Linked DNA regions of Nothobranchius furzeri. The protein of the gene in region 1 interacts with the protein of each later gene in a biochemical or structural test. Links are inferred from orthologs where the notes say so. Each region holds a gene or a part of one and is shown in the gene's direction. Other genes may lie near its edges.

The links.
Region 2: the proteins of trinucleotide repeat-containing gene 6A protein (region 1) and cnot1 form a complex in vitro, tested with the Homo sapiens proteins (2 studies listed by BioGRID). The link is inferred for Nothobranchius furzeri from reciprocal best matches to the Homo sapiens genes TNRC6A and CNOT1.

Annotation. Positions count from the first base shown.
Region 1 is NC_091752.1:63,517,193-63,521,594, forward strand, and holds the start of trinucleotide repeat-containing gene 6A protein, read left to right. Parts: upstream 1-1,584; 5' UTR 1,585-1,819; intron 1,820-4,402.
Region 2 is NC_091744.1:81,594,303-81,597,155, forward strand, and holds the end of cnot1 (CCR4-NOT transcription complex subunit 1), read left to right. Parts: intron 1-495; coding exon 496-597; intron 598-689; coding exon 690-863; intron 864-969; coding exon 970-1,119; intron 1,120-1,194; coding exon 1,195-1,375; intron 1,376-1,514; coding exon 1,515-1,647; intron 1,648-1,733; coding exon 1,734-1,868; intron 1,869-1,986; coding exon 1,987-2,065; 3' UTR 2,066-2,279; downstream 2,280-2,853.

The DNA of each region.
Region 1 (4,402 bases):
GTATTTGGGTCTGCACTGGTTAGACTTAAATGAGTTAAACCAAGGTCTATTGCCCTTGGGTCATAAACTATGAGCTATAAGTATATTGGTCTTTTTATACTGGGAATCAGGAGTTCTTTTAGTGATCATCTTGTTTCTTGTTTATTTTTGCCCTGATTGTGCCCTGAGCAGTTTTATGACTGAATAAAAATAAATTAAAAAAATCTACATAAATTGAAAAATCGTCTTAAATAATCGAGATCTCAATTTCAGTCACAATAATCGTGATTATTGTTTTTGCCATAATTGAGCAACCCTACTTTAGCATATCCGGTCACATTATGATGACGTCATATTCAGTGGTCGTTCTGCATCATTTCAGGCCCCGTGGTCAACTGTCTGAACCGCTGAAAAGAAGTGCCTGGCATATTTTCTAAGTAAAATAAATATGCGCAATACGTTGTCAACATCAGTGAGTCTCTAAGTCTATGCTTTTTGTATGTTATATATGTTAAAATATGTGTAAATAGGTCGCTGATTAACACTTGCAATTTAGTGTTGTGATGGTTTTAAAAAAATTCTGAAGGTAGTAAAAAAAAGTATTAAAAAGTAGTAAATTTTACTTAAGGATTGCTGTATATACCCTGTACACAGATGAATGCACCTCTTATTTATTATTTGGAAATTAGTGGGTGTGGTTTACATCAATACATTATTTTAAATCTGAAGCTGATAAAGATTGATCAGAAGTTGCTATGTGTGTTGTTTATTAGAAAAATATTTACAGAGCAGCCTCAGAATTGAGATGAAATGTTTTTGATCACAATAGCAAAGGAACTATTACAGAACAAGTTTTTCACTAAAATCAGAACATTAATGTTTAAGTGCATGAATTAATGCATCTGAACTCATGCATTAGGAACTAGGAAATATGAAATACTAGAACCATTTTATTTTAATTTGATTAAACTGATTTTTTTTCCTAATGTTGTTGGCATTTTCCCCACACACAATTGAACAAACCAATGTTGATTACCAAGCTGCTACATCCTTCTCATTCTTGTCAGGTTTCTAGTCTGGGTTGTTGCAGAAATCGAAAGCAAGTTAGAGATCCATTTACCCTCGGTTGTTTTGCCGAGTTGCCATCTAACCTTTTGCTTTAACCAGTGAGTAGTCAACATGTTGAATAATAATTTATTAGCATTCATTGACTCTGGTAGGAATTGTTTTATTATGCTGAAAAAGGTCAGAAAACTAAATGTTTTGTTTTGAGAAACCACGTAGTGTTTTATGAACATTTAGCTCCTTTTTATCCATCACGTCTTTCTGTGAGCATGTGGATTGTTTCTAAAGCACAAGATTGTGACAGCTGTTTGAAATACTTCAGGATTGCTTCGGAAGCTGATGAATGTGATGGCTAACGTTGTGAACAATTATTTTACAGATGTTTTGAATCTAAAATTACAAAGAAAGAGTATTAAAATAAACTAATAATGGCTTCTTTCCTTTCCTTTATTTTTTTATTTTTTTGTGCAGCAGTGCCGAAGCATACTACATCAAGACGGTCCTTAATCATAACCACGCCTCCATCCTTCCCCGTCCCTATTTACAAACAATCACAAACACCAGTCTTCAGCGATGCCAAGGGAGGCTAATCAGCCTGTCTCCTGCTCTGACAAGCCCCGCCTCCTCACCTCACACCCTTGAAGCTGTGCTCACTAAGTGTTGACCTTTGACCTCCCCTGTGCCGAGCTGGGAACCAAAGGCCACCTGTTCTCTTCTGAAACCGGGGACACCCTCCTGTCCAGCCAGGAGCTGCAGCCACCAGTGGCACTCAGAGGTAAGCAGTGGGGGTGGGGGGGTGGGGGGGGGGCAGGCATTTGCATTCCCAACTGACTCCTCCTTTATGAAGGACTGAAGGCAGCTGTGCATTTAAACGGCTACAGATGTGAGCGGGTGTTTAACCCTCAGGTCTGAGGGACCTACTACATAGTTTTTATGAAATCAGATGAAGCAATAAAGTTACTTGCACAGACCCTCCACTGCTTCATAGTCAGAAAACCAAACTATTGCCTTAAAGGGACGTAGTTTTTTTTTATGCATGTAAACGCATTAGTCTGGCTAAAGCACCCACATAATGCGGTAGAAACTCAACTTCATCTGCATGTAAATGACTCAGTCGAGCTGATGCCACGAGACCGTGGAAGTAGTCTTCTGATAATTCCATTGTTACAAAGTAACATGCGTTACACCATCAAACAGTACAGTATCAGCTGTGCTGCCGCGCCGTTGTCCATTGCTTCACAGCCATCGTTCATATCCTGTTTTAACTCTGTCTGGCTCACTCCCGCCAGCATTGGTTTACTATTTGGGCAGCAGTCGCTCAGGAGGTAGACCGGTAATCAGAAGGTTGCAGGTTAGATCCCGGCTCCCATCAGACAATGCTGCTGTTGTGTCCTTGGGCAAGACGCTTAAGCCTCAGGCTTCACTTTATTTTACTATACACTTGAGTCTTTAGAGGACAAAACGTCCGCTGGTAAAAATGGCTATAAAAATGTATACAATAATATTTTTCTTCTGCTTTTTTTTCATCCTTCTGTTAAACTACTTCAGCCCTCCATCATTTTTAACACTTCAAATGCCAGTTTGATTACTCAGTCATTTCTGGAATTTATGGAGGAAAAAACACAAAAATGACTTATTTTCCCCCAAAAACAACTGTTTCTTCCTGGGGCATTTATTATAAATCAGGCTTAGTCATGTTATGAAATAACTGAAAAATAAAAAAATTTGCATCCGTAGTTTTTGTGTAGCAACAGATTGATCTTGGCGGACAAAAATGTCCCATTGACTTCCATTCAAACCACAGTTTTTCATCCTGTAACATCTGGAAAAAGTAATCATGCTTTCTGTGATATTAGTGTTTCATTTTTCACTAGTGAAATTTGTGATTTTTACTGTTCTTCACCAAATTCAGTTATTTCTCCATACGTGGCCCAGGTGAGAAAGTCTACACATTTCTTTAGATCTTCTGTTGTTTGTATTGAAGTCAAAAGGTCAACCTGACCTCTGATAAGTAGATAAAACACAGTTTGACTCTCTTACTGAACTTCAAAGTGTAGAAAGCAAAAACAATTGGTATGTTTATGCACGTGTCTGGAGCTCCAGCCAGGTGCATAAACATACTAAACTGTGGTTTGAATGGAAGTCAATGGGACGTTTTTGTCCGCTAGACTCAAGTGTATGGTGTTTTTTGTTTTTTTCTTCATAGTGTTCACTTGGTTTATTTTCAAAATTCCAAATTGAATTTCGAAATTTGTCCAGGGAGGTGTTTTGCAACAAAGATTTGTACCGTATGGTACGGCTGAACGATCTATCGTTTTTGGACCGAAATTCCGATTTCAAACAGCACGCTCATGTGACCGTCAACGCTATGGTTTTGGAGGTTTTGACTGATCCCGGATCAGTTTTGTAACTTTTTATTTTTTATTTTTTACATCCGGGGTTGTCGCCCTGTGTTATGTCGGCGGCAAAATCCAGCGCGGGGGAGGGGAGTGGGGTGTGCCATCCAGAGCAGAGCCCAACTCCAAAGCTGCCAGAGCTGCATGTTCAGGTTATTGTTCCTGTTTTACGTTCCCACACACAGCGCTGCTAGAGCCTATAATAATGGGACCGAAGGTGAGCCTGGGACAGAGAGAGAGAGAGAGAGGACGTAGGGGGTAAGGGAGAGAGACTCCTCCCACATCGGAGCAGGTTCAGGCTTATTTCTAAAGCTTGGTTTATGCTTCATCAGCGCGAGTGCGGAGCCGCGCACTTTAGTTGACTTGAAAGCTCAACTTATCTTTTAAAAATGGTTTGAATGTTTCTGATGGCACACGTTAGCTCAAACAAGCTAAGGTGTCAGAATGCTTGTGTCTCTCACGGAGTTGACATTTTAGTGAGGAAAATCAGACGACTTTGAAAAACGTGCAGCCAGCCTGCCGCGGTAATGCAGGGAAAACTGTGTGCATTTTTTTATTTAATACATTTAAAATCTATGTTTACTTACAGATTTCCTCCATGCATTTTTGGATAGAACATGTTTTGTAAAGCTCCTCTCTAGATATAAACTACAAGCACAAGTTGCTTCACAAACACATAAAAAAATGTAAAAAAAAAAAAAGATAATGGGAGAATATAATGGCTAACTGTTTTTATTGTATGATTAAATAAATAGTAAATATTAATGTGAATGATTTGTTGTACTAGATTAGAATCTAGACCATCTTTTCACCTAATCTACAGGGTGGCTTGGCAGGCTAATGCTGGATCTTTGTTTGCAGAAAATCGTGAATTGAACCGAAATCGCAATTTCTGCTAGAAAAATTGCAATTCAGTCTTTTCCTAAAATCGTTCAGGCCTACCATATGCACAAACAATGGTG
Region 2 (2,853 bases), on another chromosome or scaffold:
CACACCGTTGCAGTTCTCGAAAGAAACGGGTGGTAAACAAAGCCGTTCGGTCACACGTACTGACGTAAGTTATATATAACATCGCAACGTTGCATTTTATTTTGAAAATAACCGGGGATTTCACACTGAAACCGTGTGTGGTTTCCTGTTTCGCACTATGTGGACTGCGGAAATTGATGTGTCCCAGAAGCGGCTCACGGAAAATATAGAACTCGATCCTATCTTTGGCGGCGCGGCGCGGCGCGGCATGCCGCTTCCGGGATGCGCCTGAAAATTGCCGCATCGCGGCTGGTTTGAAACACTCCGTAGACTATAATTGGATTCTATTTGAAGCGGTGCCGCTTCGCTGCCATTCCGTTCCGCTGATGCTTGCAGTGTGAAACCGGGGTTACAGCTGAAAAGTCTGACCGTAGCAGATGTATTTGCTTAGAGACAAATGTTTGTGTATAATTCTGTTCTTTAAATGTTCTTAAATGGGCTGATTTCGTCCTCCAGGGTTGGCCCATGTATGCACAGCTTCTGATTGATCTCTTCAAGTACCTCGCCCCCTTCCTGAGGAATGTAGAGCTCATCAAACCTATGCAAATCCTCTACAAGGTACGCTGTCAGACCTACAACCACAATAATTCACATCCACATTTGAATAATAAATCTCAATGCGACTTTGCTGTGTCTTATACTCTGTTCAGGGAACGCTGAGGGTGCTTCTCGTCCTGCTGCATGACTTCCCAGAGTTCCTGTGTGACTATCACTACGGCTTCTGTGACGTTATCCCACCCAACTGCATCCAGCTCCGCAACCTCATCCTTAGTGCCTTCCCACGCAACATGAGGCTTCCAGACCCCTTCACTCCCAACCTGAAGGTACACAAGCACTGAGATGGTTTCGTTTAAACCAACAGTTCCTTTTTTCCGCGCACACGTTTGAGGTCCATCTGTACAAATGTTCGTTTTAACTCTTTTCTTGCAGGTGGACATGCTGAGTGAGATCAACATTGCTCCTCGTATCCTCACCAACTTCACAGGCGTCATGCCGTCTCAGTTCAAGAAGGATCTGGACTCCTACCTGAAGACACGCTCACCTGTCACCTTTCTGTCTGAGCTGCGCAGTAATCTGCAGGTAAGGCCCGTGTCTCGTCTGGCGTAGCAATACAAATTAAATTCCTGCAACTTAATTTTTGTTTTCTCCACCTAGGTGTCGAACGAACCGGGAAATCGTTACAACATCCAGCTGATCAACGCTCTGGTGTTGTACGTTGGCACACAAGCAATCGCTCACATCCACAACAAGGGCAGCACCCCCTCCATGAGCACCATCACCCACTCTGCTCACATGGACATCTTTCAGAACCTAGCTGTGGACCTGGACACGGAGGGTAAGACGGCAGGATCATTAAAACATTGTCCAGAAACAGTTTGACGATAAATGTGATGAAATTCTCCGAAGGTGATGCAGAAATGATGTTAAACTTTCATCCAAAACAAAAAACTGACCAAATTCCTATATTTTTCCAGGACGTTACTTGTTCTTGAATGCAATCGCCAACCAGCTGCGTTACCCAAACAGCCACACCCACTACTTCAGCTGCACCATGCTCTACCTGTTCGCCGAGGCTAACACCGAGGCCATCCAGGAGCAGATCACCAGGTCAGACCGTCTGATGTGACCTTCAGTAGTCTTCACGGATGTGGATCACACTTCCTGTTAGCTGAACATGTTCCTCTCTTCTTCAGGGTTCTGTTGGAGAGACTGATTGTGAACCGGCCTCATCCATGGGGGCTCCTCATCACCTTCATCGAGCTGATCAAGAATCCTGCCTTCAAGTTTTGGAGTCACGACTTTGTGCACTGTGCCCCGGAGATTGAAAAGTAGGTTTTGTGATGTTGGCGTGAATTACAGCAGCTCACAAAATATTTAGCTTATTGTTTCCAGGAGTTGTTGTTGTTGTTGAGCCGTTCTGGTGTTTTTGTTCCTCCCGCCCCCCAGGCTGTTCCAGTCCGTAGCCCAGTGCTGCATGGGGCAGAAGCAGGCCCAGCAGGTGATGGAGGGAACCGGTGCCAGCTAACCTGCACGTCACCTCGTAGCCTCTGAGGGATGCTGTGGCCTTGACCCGCCCCCGCCACCACACACACACACCTCCCACTCTACTGTTGGCACTGGATAAACTGGCGACCAGTCATGTTGAAACAGAAGGACTACTGCTCCAGGATCTAGAGAGATTTTGTTTTTTTCCATTTGGGATGAGTTGGGAGGAGAATGGATCGGAACATGCTGTTTATTATACTTTTTTGATGCTTTGATGTAAATATTAAAAAGAAAAAAGGGAGAGCAGGGAAGTCGGCAGGTGGGTTGCTGCTCACGTGTCGGCTAGTTCGTACCTTGACATGTAAAGACACAAACGTATTCTCACTCACTACCAAAGTCCTTAGTTTGCTTTCCTCCCACACAAACCCTGCTTACTGAATTTGTTTGCTTTCAGAGGCAGAATAGTAGATGATTGAAGAGAAAAAAAACTGCCTGCTACTTTTGTTTGATTCTTTTGTTTTGTTCCTTTCGAGTGGGACTGAAAGGCGTGGTTAAGTCTCAGGTGTGGTGGTGGAGACCTGTTTCCTGGTTTGTCCATTTGAAGCTGGCTGTGAAGGTCTCTCCTTGGCACGTGTAAAACTGTGCAAAGTGATGGTAACATTTGACAACTTGTACAAAGTTCCAAACTGAAGAACAACTATAGAAGGACCAATACAGCCCGTTTTGTAACATTTTGAATGTTTTGTAAATGTATTGGTCCGTGTGTTGTATTTTGTAGTCCTTTCTAGTTTGCCTTTAGTTCTTGCTACTTAACTGCAGTATGCATAC